Pelodiscus sinensis: one gene and its partner. The protein of the gene in region 2 interacts with the protein of the main gene of each other region in a biochemical or structural test. Links are inferred from orthologs where the notes say so. Each region holds a gene or a part of one and is shown on either strand. Other genes may lie near its edges.

Region 1 (7,004 bases), about 67 Mb from region 2:
GCGCATGCGCACGCCGCCTCTCCTCCCGCGCCCTCGGGCGGCTTGCAGCGCGTGCGCGCCACCCCGCTGTCGGGCGCGGTGCCTGGTGGGAAGGAGGCGGCTCTGTCCCGGAGGAGGGTGGCGGTGAATCCTCCCGGCCGCTCACAGCAGTGTAGAGCCGCTTCCCCTCCCCCCCCCCCGCCCTCCGGCCCGGAGGGAGCGCGGATTTAAAGGGGCAGGGACCCGGCACGGGGACCATGCCGAACTTCTGCGCGGCTCCCAACTGCACGCGCAAGAGCACCCAGTCCGACCTGGCCTTCTTCCGCTTCCCCCGCGACCCGGTCAGGTGAGACCCGCCGCGCTCCGGCCTGGCGGCTCCCGCGGGCGGGCTGGCCCGGCGGGGAGGCGACCCCGGGAGCGCGCCCGGGCCCAACTGCCTCCCGCCCGCCTGCCTGCCCGGGGGTCGCTCCTCGCCGGGGGGCCGGGCCCGCCAAGGGCTGCGCGGGGCGGGACGGGCTGGAGCCGGAGCCGCTCGCCTCAGTGAGCCCGAGGAGGCCGCGCGCGGCTCCCGGGGGCGGGGCTCCGGCCAAGCCTCCGGCCCGGGGCTGGGACTGGGAGGCGGACGGGCGGCTGCGCAGACACGGCCGGGGGCTCGGAGTGAGTGACGGGAGCGGGGCGGGGGCAGTGTGGGCCGGGCCGGGGCTATGGGGCAGAGCGGGGTCGGAGTGTGAGGGGGGCCGGGGAAGGCGGCTGCATGGGCGGTGAGGTGGGCAGAGGCCTGGGGGGTGTGTGAAGTGGGTAGGGGGCATGAGAGCCAGGTAGGAGGGTGAAGGTGACAGCTAGGAGCTCCCATTGAAAACACCCCGTCAAAGAGGTAAACAGGCTCCTGCAAAGCATTGAACTCCCTAGTGTATCTTGGTCCTAACTGGGCTATGCATGTCAAAGGCCAGTTAGGTTTTTTTTTTTTTCCTAGTCTTAACAAGACACTATGGCCAACATTTTCACGGGTTTGGATTGTCTCTCTTCTTGGTAGCTCACCTGAAATTGCTTGGGCCTCGGTTTTCAATTGTGGCAACTCCAGATGAGTTCAGTGGGAATTTATGGATGCTCAGCACTTCTGAAAATCAGCTCCAAACTGTCCCAGGATGAGCACTCTCCTCACTGAAGTATCCAAATGCAGTGGCTGCTTTTGAAAATGATGTTGAAAGGCAGGTTATCAGACTTGCTGTCTGCTTAATATATAGTGGTCAGAACGCATTCCACTCACCATGTACAGCCTGCAGAATTCTGTAACCTGGTATTTGGTAAATCTACCCTTTAATATACTGGAAGAGTTGGCACTTGAATCTGTAGTCCTGTGTTTCCTGTACAGATGTTAAAATGTGTTTGTGTAAACATGTATCTGCTGAAGTTTTCAATAGGTATGACACAGGAGATGGGAGAGGTGGGAGCTGGCTCCCATGAGCACTGGCTCCCATTTCCCTTCCCCCCCCCCCTTGCTGCCTCTGAAGGAGGTAGCAGCTGGGGGGGGGGGGGAAACTGTTGCTTGGGGCGAGAGGGGGGGAGCCAGCTTTTAAACCAGCTTTTAAAGCCAGGCAGTTCCATGCACTGACTCATGTCACACTCTCTCCCGCCCCCACTGCCTCTGTATCGGAGGCAGCGAGGGGGAGGGACTGCATTTAACCAAAAGGCTTTTTTTACTGATGAGCCCAGGCTCATTGATTAACCATGTTCTTGACTACACTGTATCATCCTTAATCTGCTGATGTTGCACCACCTCCAGTCTACCTCCTTCATCAAGATAGAATAGTGCTTGTTGAAATCCATTGTGTGTCATGGTGGGCAATACTTTTTGATGGGTGGGTATCCAAGACTTTGAAAAGTGGTCAAGAGCTGCAGTCTTCCATGTTAATGGAGGAGGTGTGAAGTTTTGGATGGAGTTAGGGTACGGAAGAGAGCTTGCTGTAAGGGATTGGGATGCAGGAGAAAGTGTGAGGTCTGGGAGGGAGTTTGAGTGAAGGAGGCAGTTGAGACCTGGGGAAGGGAGCTAAGATGCAGGGGTTTGGGTTTTGATCTGGGACAGAGGATTGGGGTGCAGGATTTGGGAGGGGATATGGGAACAGGAAGGGGGGAATAGGGTTTGGGTTATGTGGGATGAAGGGCAGAGGGTTGGAGTGCCAGAGGCAGGCTCTGCCTGGGAGACTTACCTACTTGACTCCTAGCCAGCAGCCTTTTCGAGCAGACTCCCTGCCCTGCTCCCTCAGGGGCCATGTAGTTTTTGAATAGCTAGGAGCCTGAAGGGAGAGGGAGGGTGCTCTGCAAGCTGCTAGCCAATGGGATTGTGCTAGGGGCAGGGGCAGCACATGAAGTCTCTTCCCCCTCCCTTGGGCTCACAGCTGTTCATACAGAGCCCCCACAATGGTTGCTTTTCTCAGCAATGTGCAGGGGCAGGCAGGGAGTCTGCCTGAAGCTCTCCACTCCATTTGCCGGCCAGATCTGGAGGCTTGGCGGGCTGGATCTGGGCTGCAATGGGTATTTTGCCCAGGCATGATCTATGTAGACTACCTTTTTCTACTGAATAATGAAGATGGCTACAGTTTCTGCAAAATCAAGGAGATTTGGTGCTGTCTACAGATGTTAGATTAGAGAGTAATCAGCTACTCGACCACCCGCTAAAAATATAAGCTTATCAGGTAGTCTGGTGGAGCACTCAACTACTGGCTTCACTCCTTCCCCCTCCCCCCTCCCCACCGTCTCTGTATGAGAGGCAATAAGGGGGGAGGGACAGGAGACATTGCTGGAGGGAGCTGGCTTAAAAACCAGTTATTCCCAGCACTGTCTCTGTGATGCCACCCTCTGCCCCACTCCTTTTGCTGCCTCTATCTGAGGGGAGGTTGCTCCACCAAGCAGCCCCTGTTTGTAGTGGCCCAGGCTGGCCACGTGAAGGGGCTGCCCTGGCTGCTGCAGACGAGCTGCTGGACTCAGTGTGAGCCAGGAGTGACCAGTTCAGCTTGTGCTGGTCCAGGACACTGCGCCTCTGCATTTTAAATACAGTAACATCCTGGAAACTCTTAACATATTTAAAATGCAAAGCTGCAGCGTGGGTGGCTTCCCCGAGCCAGCACGAGCTAGGACTGCTCAGTCTCGGCTCGAGGTGGTTCCGGGAGCTTACCCCCACTGTGGCTCTGCAGAGCAGTGCTTATTGACTAATCGTGTAGTCGGTACAAATTATGTGGCTGACCCCTGTGTGGTCAATACATGGCATGCATGCCATAAGTGGCACGCAAAATGATTTTCACTGGCACATGAACCTCCCCACCTGATTTGGCATGTGGAAAACATTGCCCCCCGCCCTCCTCCCAGCTCTGTGCATTGCCATTTCCCTTCTCCCAGCTGGGAAAGGCTCATACTAGCATGGTGCAGCAGCAATGGCCTCCATACCCTCCCTGCCCGCCCCTTCCCCCCCTCCCCGCACACACAGAGAACATACATTTTGGGCGCTTTGCCGGCAGGCAGCTTTGGTGTTTTCTGGTGGCATGTGGTTTCCAGAGTCCAGAGGATTGTTTGAGTCCCAGCAAGCCACCGCCACCTGGTGCAGCTGCTCCAGTACTGCGTGCTGCACGGCCCCCTCCATTCTCTTGTGGGCCTGCCTCTTCCACGCAGGGCCCTGATCTGGCCGCACAGCCACTGCCTCCTCCAGATCGCTGCCTGTTATTACAGCGGCTGCCAATGCTGCCTTTGAATGTGGGAGGCTGCCAGGTCAGAGGCAAAATCCAGTGGAGTCGCTTCTGGACCTCAACACCTTGGAGCTGCCGCTTCAGCCCTGGGAGGGGCCACGTGGAGCCTCTGGCTGGGGCACTGCAGGTGCGCTCCATGTGCTGCTGCTCACTCTCCTGCCGCCCCTTTGCACCCCGCTGGGGGAGTGGCAGTGCATGGAGCTGCTAGCTCTGACACTCTCTGCTGAGAGTTGGGTCTGGTGAGGAAGCTCAAGGCTTTCTTCACACCTCTCTTGCCCCCCGCCCCCTCCAATACCCTCTGAGCAGGAAGCCAGAGCTGGTGTTGCAGCCTCCTGGCTGAGCAGGCTTCCTGCTGTGTGTGTGTGGGGGCGGGGTCACAAATGAACTCCATCCCCCTCTCCACCCTGCTGGGGGAATGGCAGTGCAGTGATGTGTGAGGCTTTCCCAACTGCAAGGCTGTGGGAAGCCAAGTAAGCGTCTCCCCTCATGTGCAGACACCCACACCCCAGTCTCCCTCACTTACTCCCCTTCCCCTGCCAGGATCCTGCACCACCTAGCTTGCGCCAACACCCTCCCTTGCTCCTGCACCCTCCCTCCTAGTCAGGCACTCCCTCCTGGTCAGACATCCTACCCCCATCCTACTCCTACACCTTCCCTCCTGGCCACACACTGTATCGTAGTTTCCTCATACTCCCTCCATCTAGCCAGACAACCTACTCCCAGCTTGCTTCTGCACCCTATCGCCCATCCAGACCTCACAATTTATCCCCCTTCTGCACCCCATCTCCTTCCCAGCTCCTGCACCTGTTCCCTACATCACTCACTAGCAACCCTGTCTCACACACTAGACCTCTCATTTTTGTCCTTATCCCAGACTTAAGGGGATCCATAAAATCCACTAATTCTGGAACCCCAGAAAAGTAAATTTGGCCTCTGAGAAACCCTGAACCTCAGTCCTCCCTGGCCCTTCCCTTCACCCTGTGAGGCTGGAGCGCCAGAGGAGTGAGGTGTCTCAGTTGGGGGCCACATCAGTGAAAGTTGGGGATTTTTGGAGAAGAATTTTTTATTTCTCACTTGTGTGGTCCCTAACTGATTTTTTTTCTGTGGATCAGTGGCCCTTGACCCGAAAAAAGCTTTTTTCCTCATAGAAAGAGGTTTACCAATGTCAGAACAACCCCTCTGTTCTTTCAATTTTCTTTCGAAAGAACGCGATTGCAGTGTGGATGTAAGTGAAGTTTTTTCGGAAAAATGGCAATCACTGGCGATATGTAAGAGTAGGTTAGACAGACATGTATCAGGGATGATATAGACCGTGCTTGGTCCTGCCATGAGGTCAGGGGACTGGACTTGATCTGTTGAGGTCCCTTACAGTTCTAATATTCTATGATTTTGTTTGTAAATCTCTCCACACCCTTCTTAAAACATTTTTGGAGAATGTAGTGTGTCTTCTCTGTTCGGGGCAGAGATAGTCCCATAACCACTGGGGATCCTACCAGAATCAATATTTTTTTAAGAAATCTAGACCAGTGTTTCCCAAATGGTGTTCCATGGAACCCTGTGGTTCTATGTGAAAATAAGGGTTCCTCAAGAAAATTGCACTACAATAACATTTTATGATTTAACATTTTTTTTGTACACACTAAATGTGACTTTTTGTTTTTAAATATGTGCAGTTAAACTAAATGTTGATCTCATGACCTTGTTTAGCATTTGTTTATTATTTTATCCTTACTTATTTGTGGCCTACTTTTTCAACTCCATATATAAGACTGCTATTAGGGGTTCGGCAAAAATTTTTCGAGTTTAAAAGGGTTCCGTGGCCAAATAAAATTGGGAAACACTGATCTAGACTAAGTGTGAAAAATCTGAGCTCAGCTGGAAACATTTGGGGAGTAACTAGAAGTTGGATCAGTTGAAGTAAAATATCACTGAAAACAAGACTTCTATTAGAAGTAACTCAGAAGGAATTCTCCTTAGTGTCAGTCATAATGCTGTAATTCTGTACAGTCATCTCTGGTCCTCTTTGATTTTGTTTAGGTTGGGGCATACATCAAGGAGGAGCTGGTGGATGTAGAACATCTATTTATATGATAGTGACCCAGTCATTACTCTTGTATGGGTTTTGTGTGGATTTTCAGGCATTATACCGTATCTCAGAATGGCCATACTGGGTCAGTCCATTGATCCATTTAGCCCAGTGCCCTTTCTTCTGGCAGTAGCCAATACCAGATGCTTCAGTGGGAATGAACAGAACAGGTAATCATCAAGTGATCCATCCTGTCTCCCATTCTCAGCTTCTTACTTTCACAGCATCCTCTGGTAAAGAGTTCCACAGATTGTGTGAAATATTTCTTTTTGTTGTTTTAAACCTTCTGACTATTAATTTATTTTGGTGACCTGTAGCTCTTATTATGATAGAGTAAATAACACTATTGAATCACCTTTAGTCATCTCTCTTCTGAGCTGAAATGTCCCATTCTTATCAATCTCTACTGCCAGGGAGACTTTTCCATATCCCTAATCCTTTTTATTGTTCTTCTCTGTACCTTTTTGAGATGGGACAAAAAGATCTGCATGCAGTGTTCAAGATGTGGGTATCAAGTATCAGAGGGGTAGCCGTGTTAGTCTGAATCTGCAAAAGCGACGAGAAGTCCTGTGGCACCTTATAGACTAACTGAAGTGTAGGAGCATAAGCTTTCATGGGCAAAGACCCACTTCGTCAGATGCATGCATCTGACGAAGTGGGTCTTTGCCCACGAAAGCTTATGCTCCTACACTTCAGTTAGTCTATAAGGTGCCATAGGACTCCTCATCACTTTTGCAAGATGTGGGTGTACCATGGATTTATATAGAGGCAATATGATATTTATTGTCTTATTATCTATCCTGTTCTCAATGATTCCCAACATTTGGCTTGTTTTTGTGGCTGCTGCTGCACATTGAGTAAATGTTTTCAGAGAACTATCCACCACGACTCAAAGATCTTTTTCTTGAGTGTTAAGAGCTGATTTAGACCCCATCATTTTATATGTATTCTGTTATGTTTTCAAATGTGCATTACTTTGCATTTATTAACATCAAATTTTAATTGCCATTTTGTTGTCCACTCAGTTTTATGAGAGCCTTTGTAAGTCTTCACAGTCACTCTTCACTCAATTATCTGGCATAGTTTTGTATCCTCTATAAATTTTTCCACTTCACTGTTTACTCTCTTTTCCAGATCACTTATGAACAGGGCTCGACAAATCATGTAATCTACTCGCCTGTGGCGAATAGATTACAAGCTGG
Region 2 (7,753 bases):
CAACTCCTTCCTCCCCCATCCAAGGTTCTTTCCCCAGCCCTCTCCCCAGTTACATTTACCCCAAATAAAACCAAACAATTTATTTTTCAAAAACAAAAAGTGTAGTTTATTGTTTCTGTAGGGGAGAAAGGGAGGGCAGGGGAAGGGAGGAGTGTGGGAGGAAAGGCAAAGAGGGATGATGCACAGGCCCCTTGTGGGAGGCTAAGGGGAAAGTGTCAGCAGGGTCCTTGTGTGAAACTCTCTCTCAAGACCACCCGGATGCACACAGCCCCCTGATGGGCCTGCCGGATAGCAGCCATGTGCAGCTGCCCAAAGGCTCTGCCAATCCAGTCAGCCTCTGCCTCCCATCCTGAGAGGAACATCTCCTCCCTGCTTTCACAAATATTGGACACTGCGTGGGGGATTTTCCCTTTCCCGACATCCAGGCAATTGAGGAGGCAGCGGAACCTCCCCTTCAAACACCTGATTTGAATTTCCTGGGCTTCATTTGCATAAGCCGGGCGCCGCCATTTTTAAATCCCGGCTGGTTCGAACCCCGTGCTGCGCGGCTACACGCGGCACGAACTAGGTAGTTCGGACTAGGCTTCCTAGTTCGAACTACCATTACTCCTCGTGGAATGAGAGCCTAGTGCGAGTGAGTGTCTGTGTTTGAGAACTCCTCCTAAACAGTAGGAGCGAGGACTGCCAAATTTGCTATGCAGGTTCCTCCTATAATAATTTAAAAGCAAGGTCAGGGTTTGGTTGTGCTAGGACAATGGGATGTGCCTGGAATGTGATTTCTTCTCATAACATGGAAAGGAAGGGTTCTGCTAGCAGGGACAGTTATGCGTATAATGACCACATGGGAGCAGCAAGGGGCCAGAGATGGGAACCAGGACAGCTATATTCCAATTGGGGCAGCAGGAGACTTGGGTGGAGAAATAGATGGCCATGTACTAAAAATTTGAGACAGTTTGTGTGTCTGTCTTGTCTGTCTGCCACCCACCCAGCGGACATGCAGCCTCCCCTGACTGTGCAGTGGCCATGGACAGGAACTTCTCATCTGGCTCCAAGCTGCTGTGGTGAGAGAGGGCTGGGGTAATCCTCTCACCTTGGGACAGCCTGCATACTGAACTGCTCTTCTCAAGCCTCACCTTGAAGGTCTGAAGCTTGTCCCCCGATTCACATGGGGACATGGCTGTCTGTTCCCCTTCGTCAGGGAACAGTTTGCTGCATTCTTCACTCTTGCTGGGGAGAGCAGAGGCAGATGATCCTGAACCTGCCCCAGCTGGGGGACATATGTAATGCTGACAGGCAGAATCCAGACTAGGACTTCTGGAGCTTAGTGCATGAACCTCTGATTTATATCCTGAGCTAAAAGGCTCTCTGCTAAGGCTATAAACACATTCTTTTTCTCTGTAAGTGGTCTAAATGTCACTGTATTGGACATTACACCACACCCAGAAGGTATGTGGGTTGCACATACATCCCTCCCTCATCTGTGCCCACTGCAGCAGCCAGAGAGAGGCACTTCTCACCTGGCCCCAAGCTGCTGCAGTGAGAGGGGGCTGGGATTGTCCTCTCTCCCTAGGGCAGCCTGCATACTGAACCTCTCACTGAACATCTCATCCCCAGCCCCACCAACCTTCCCACCCCCCAGGGGCCATTTACAGGGCAGGGATGAAGCTCCCCCCGCCCCATTCATACAGAGAAATTGATGAACTGAGCAATGCTGGGTAAATCTTGTAGTGGAAATAAGTAACGTAACTCAACTTCCAACATTGCAATGATGCACTGTTTTACAATAGTCTATACTGTTTATAAGAGATAACATTATTGTGGGACAATACACACAATTGGAATATTGGCATAGAAAGGTATAGCTTGCTCAGGAAGGAAAGGCAGAGAAAAAAGGGAGGAGGTGTTGTCTTATATATTAATGTTTACACTTGAACTGAGGTGGAGATGGACATAGGAGTCTCTGGGTTGGTTAACAGTGGTTTAAAAAGGATAATAGTAGGGGTCTACTACAGATCACCTACCCAGGCAAAAGAGGTGGGTGAGGCTTTTTTTAAACAACTAGCAACATCATCCAAAGCACAGGATTTAATAGTGATGGGGGACTTTAGCTATCCAGACATTTGTTGGAAAAACAACACAGCAGGGCACAGATTATCCAATACATTTGTGGACTGCATTAGAGACAATTTTTTTTATTTCAGAAGGTTGAGAGAGTGACTGGGGAGAAGCTGTTTTAGATTTGATTTTAACAAAAGGCAGGAACTGATTGAAAATTTGAAAGTGGAAGGCAGCTTGGGTGAAAATGATCGTGAAATCATAGAGTTCATGATTCTAATGAACAGTAGAAGGAGAACAGCAAAACAGAGACAATGGATTTCAGGAAGGCAGATTTTAGTAAACTTAGAGAGCAGGTAGGGAAGGTTCTATGGGAAGCAAGACTAAGAGGAAAAACAACTGAAGAGAAATGCAACCTAGATGGGGCTACTATAAGGTGGGTGCATAATTGGCTGGATAACCGTTCTCAGAGAGTAGTTATTAACAGTTCACAATTCTGCTGGAAGGGCATAACGTGTGGGGTTCCGCAGGGGTCTGTTTTGGGACTGGTTCTGTTCAATATCTTTATCAATGATTTAGATGATGGCATAGACAGTACGATTATTAAGTTTGCATATGATACCAGGCTGGGAGGGGTTTCAAATTCTCTGGAGGATGGGGTCATTCAAAATGACCTGGACAAACTGGATAAATGGTCTGAGGTAAATAAGATGAAGCTTAATAAGGACAAATGCAAAGTACTCCACTTAGGAAGGAACAATCCATTTCACACATACAGAATGGGAAGCGACTGTCTAGGAAGCAGTACTGCAGAAGGAGTTCTGGGGGTCATAGTGGACCACAAGCTAAATATGAGTCAACAGTGTGACACTATTGCAAAAAAAAAAAAAACAAAAAAAACATGATTCTAGGAGGCATTAACAGGAGTCTTATGAGCAAGACACAAGAAGTCATTCTTCTGCTCTACTCTGCACTGATTAGGCCTCAGCTGGAATATTGTGTCCAATTCTGGTCACCACATTTCAAGAAAGATGTGAAGAAATTGGAGAAGGTCCAGAGAAGAGCATCAAAAATGATTAAAGGTCTAGAAAACACGAGCTATCAGGGAAGAGTGAAAGAATTTGGCTTGTTTAGTTTAGAGGAGAGGAGACTGAGAGGGGACATGATTGCAATTTTCAAGTATCTAAAAGGTGTTACAAGGAACAGGGAGAAAAATTTAAAAAACAACAACAAATAGCCTTGCAGCACCTTAGAGACTAACAAAACATGTAGATGATATCATGAGTTTTCATGGGCACAGCCCATTTCTTCAGATGAATGGAACTATTAAAGGTCAAGTTTCCAGAAAAGTGAAAAAACAGATGGACAGGGCCAGAAGAGTACCCAGATATCAGCTACTTCATTGTTCTTCTTGGCCTCTGATGATAGGACAAGAAGCAATGGGCTTAAATTGCAGCAAGGGAGGTTTAAGTTGGACATTAGGAAAAACTTCCTAATTGTCAGGGTGGTTAAACACTGGAATAAGTTGCCTAGAGAGGTTGTGGAATCTCCATCACTGGAGATATTTAAGAGCAGGTTGGATAGACATCTATCAGGGATGATCTAGAATCTATAATTTTCCTGATTTGAATAAATTTAACAGGCACAAGTTACTTTGATAAGTTATTGCAAATGTTTATTTACTACTACTATTGCGTACAGATGCGTGCTGCCTTATATATACCCCACTACCAGTCACCGCGCAAGACTGGCTACCTACTCCCACAATAGAACAGTCCCGAACACCCCTGTGAGCATGCTAGAAAGTTTGAAAAAGTTCCATCGCCTTCTACATCGTTCTTTGGCCTCCCCACCGACCGAACCGGTACCCCTACATGTCAAAAGGCAAAAAAAAAAAAAAAAAATTAAAATTTGCATTTCGTGGTATGAAATTTGAAAATTAAAAAATTGTGCTGATAATTGTTTTTATGAAAATTTATCAGCCTTGCGCCCCCTTGGAATTTCTTCAACCCACCCTCCCGGCAGGTGCGCCTACCAATTTAGGATCCGATGATCTAGATAGTGCTTGGCCTTGCTGTGAGGTCATGGGACTGGACTTGATGATCCAGTTCTAGTATTCTATGAATACAGATTTTTAAACAGAGGGAAAAAAATCACTTCCAACGTATCTGGTGCCTCTTAAAGCCTGGCACCCTAATTAACTGACTGCCTAGTTCACCCGTATGGGTTGGGCTGGCCCTGCTTCCACTATGCTATGACCAGCAACCTGAGGCTTCTCCTCCTGAGACCTCAAATCCCAAAATCCCTATCCACTAAAATGACTGTAGCATATGCTGGTGTCTCAGGACGATTCTTCTTCCTTTCTGTGGGTCCTGGCCCCAGAAAGACTCAGGGCCACTGAGTTAAGATTTTGGACCAGATTGGGGCTTTAATGACTCATCCCCACTCAGCTGCAAAGCCCTGACACTCAAAGCAGCCATACAAGCCTCTCGCATTTGTTCCCTCCTGCTGCTGCTGCTGCTGCCCTTCACGCTTCCCCCTCCCAACACCCACCACGTTCTTTTGACGGCTGAGGGCACAGTCTTTAACTGGCAGCTTCAACTGTGGCTCCTGCGCATGCTCAACCCCCCCCATAGACACACCAGCGCGCAAGCGCGATGCTGTCAAGGGAGCGGCGCCTGACTAGTCCTCCGGGCTCTCCACGTTTCCCAAGCAGGGGGCGGGGCCGGCGGCGGCGGCGCAGCCAATCGGAGGCGCCCACGATCCACCCCAGCGAACTTGGAAGTGGAGTCGCTGAAGCCTGCTGGAGGCGCGTGGCCGGGGGTCCCTTCGCAGCCGCGTGCTGTAGCCATGGTGTCGGCCAGCGCGTGCCTCGGCCAGCTGGGCGCCGTGCTGCCCCTGCTGCTGGTGCTCTGCGACCTGCTCGGCGAGGGTGAGGGGCTGCGGGGCGAGCCTGCCCGCGCTGGTGCACGGCGCTGCACGCTGAGAGGGGGGACGGGGCGGCGGCTGCTGCTGCTCATCATGTGGCAGGTGTCGTGGTGCTGAGTTTGGGGGAGGTTTACACGGTGGGGTGAGCATGGGGCAGAGCAGCGTCTGGGCCCTGGGCGTAGCGCCGGGTTGGTGCAGGGACGCCGCCAGGGTTAGAATTGGGGTCGGGGTTTGGTTTGGTGAGTGCAATGAGATGCTCACCACAGGGAAGCCCGCATTTCCCTGAGCGCTCTCACGTATCCCCACATCACAGGGTTACCTTCCACAGGAACACCCTTGAGTAGTATGCTGAGGCTTTGAGGGTCTCACTGCCGCAGCCTTGTGCTGGCTGCTCTGGCATGATGCCTCCTGTCACGGAGAGCATATCTGTGCTGGACTTGAGGGCAATGCCAGCCTGTGCGTATTGAAGGGAAAGAAAGCTGTGATGGGCAGGGACTCTAAACTGGAGTTGAGACTGTTGCAGGCACACTGTCCTTAAATTCTGGGCACAACTAGAGAAATATGACAGTAAAAAAATAGAAAAGTTTGTAACTTCTAGTTGGGGGCTGCAGACAGTCACTTTGAAAACAATAAATATTTCTTAAAGTTCTAACTTCAAATAGATATTCAGAAAAAGATGAAAATAACAAATGCAGCATCATCATTAACTGTTTTTAAATATCCTCAAATTAATGACATTTCTAGCTTTGTGTTGTAGCTTTGTTTTGTTGCACTACAGTAAGTGCAGTTTTAATTTGGTTTCTATTCTTAGTCAAAAGAAACTAGGGAAAGATTTTAAAAGTGTGAATTTAGCTTAAAAAGTGGCCATGTGGAAATGGTATTATAGATTTGTTCAATATTCATGTAAAAAGACTTCTATTAACTTCTAGCCCTGTAAGAATGTTCTCATTTCTGGTAATCAAGTTAGGTGCTTGTTGTTTTTTTTAATAATTCATTACTGCCAGGAGTAGTAGTTCTTCAGAAGAAATTATTCCCTCCATTACACTTGTGCATCTTTTTAAGTTTCAGATTGTCACAAGTAACATCTGTGTAATCATAGAAAGCTAACGGGATTGCACAAGTGTTTGTGAGGGCATAGTTTGAAAATAAATTGTACAGATGCACCAGAAGGCACAATTTGGCTGCAATTTTTTGTATTATTGTTTGTAATGAATAAAATAGGAGGGGGTGGCTGTTGAATTGTAAGAACTCAGAGTGAATCTGGACCTTTCTGTGGGCTGTGGTCACTTTGGGTTGCTAACTTTCTACTTGCACAAAATGGAAAACACTTATTATGCCTTTCTCAGAGGCCTTCCTCTGAATTCTCTGTCTCCCCTCCTGTCTCTCCCCCCCCCCCCCCCCCCCCCGCAAGTTGTATGTTCATTTTCATCAGTTTGGCTCAGGGATTAGGGTATGGGGGGGGAGGCTCAAGATGAGGTTGTGAGCCAGGTTTGAGGGATTTGGGAGTGTAGAAAGGTGCTCTGGGCTGGGATAAATGGGTTTGGAGAGGATCAAGGCTAGGACAGGGGGTTGGGGCCCAGGAAGGGTGCAAACTCTGGGCAGAGCTTACCTCAAACAACTCCCGGAAGCAGCCAGCATAGCCCCCCTCTGGTTCTTTCACAAAAGTGCAATCATGTGGCTTTGGGCACTGCCCCATCTGTAGGTACTACCCCTACAGCTCCCATTGGCCATGACTCCTACCTAACAGAAGTGATGGGGTGGTGCTTGGAGCCACAACAGAATATGGAGCCCCTGACCCCCTTATGCATAGAAGCCAGAGGGGGGATATGTTTCCTGGGAGCTGCCCAGTGCAGAGGCTAGCAGGGAGAGCCTGTGCGGCACTGCCGACTGGACAGTAAGAGCTTAGAACCGCCAGGATCCCTTTTTGATCACGTGTTCCTGTCGAAAATTGAACACGTAGTCACTTTATGGTCACTCTGGAGGTTAGAAATGCACTTCAAGGTTGTGTTAAATGAGAACTCTAAAAACTAGAGTGTACTGGCTTCCTGATAATTTAATATTGAATGTAATGTGACAGTAGTTTATGTGCTGCTACTGTACTGTTTGCTCCCCCTGATACTTCTGCAGTTATGTTAATGAAACTGTACTAATGCCAGAGGAATCGGTGTAAGCATTTGAACTTGTTTTTAAGCATCTGTAGATAATTCATCTTCCAAATCTGTTTCCAAGTAGCATGGATGACCTTAGTGCTTTGCTGATTGTGGCCTTGGTAGTCACAAGTTTACTTTCTAATTTTGTATATATTTTTCCTAATAGCAAGCTTTATTATATTGTAAAAAACTTTTCCCAGGGAAGGGTGCCGCTTTAAACCTATTCTGGACAAAGCACTCTTACTTGGAACAATTCTACAGACATTAGGATGGCCAAAATATGATCTATTCGGTTTCTCTTATCTCTAATTTCTGTGTTTAAAAGGTTACTTCATAAGAGATTATGTTAGTATATGTGTAGTTAATGTAATACACAACTCACATTTTCCATAGCTGTAGATCATTTTGTACAGGTACACTGTACATTTTTAGTTTCTTCTTATTCTTGATACAGCGCTAACAAAGTTAAATAATGAAATAGAGATTTATAAACAGGGAGGGTTGTGAGGTTTCCACCCTCCTGGAGGCTGTGTTAATCTCTTCTCTCCTGGAACAGAAGCTGCATTTTCAGTAACAAACTGTCCTTAAAACCAGAGAGAGTATTGGATTCTCTTCCAGGA

What was found.
Region 1: the proteins of DNAJC3 (region 2) and THAP12 form a complex in vitro, tested with the Homo sapiens proteins (2 studies listed by BioGRID). The link is inferred for Pelodiscus sinensis from reciprocal best matches to the Homo sapiens genes DNAJC3 and THAP12.

Annotation. Positions count from the first base shown.
Region 1 is NC_134711.1:318,773,716-318,780,719, forward strand, and holds the start of THAP12 (52 kDa repressor of the inhibitor of the protein kinase), read left to right. Parts: upstream 1-3,998; 5' UTR 3,999-5,874; coding exon 5,875-5,972; intron 5,973-6,936; exon of another isoform or gene 6,937-7,004. UniProt on the Homo sapiens protein: Upstream regulator of interferon-induced serine/threonine protein kinase R (PKR). May block the PKR-inhibitory function of DNAJC3, resulting in restoration of kinase activity and suppression of cell growth.
Region 2 is NC_134711.1:251,329,850-251,337,602, reverse strand, and holds the start of DNAJC3 (dnaJ homolog subfamily C member 3), read left to right. Parts: upstream 1-4,750; 5' UTR 4,751-4,905; coding exon 4,906-4,987; intron 4,988-7,753. UniProt on the Homo sapiens protein: Involved in the unfolded protein response (UPR) during endoplasmic reticulum (ER) stress.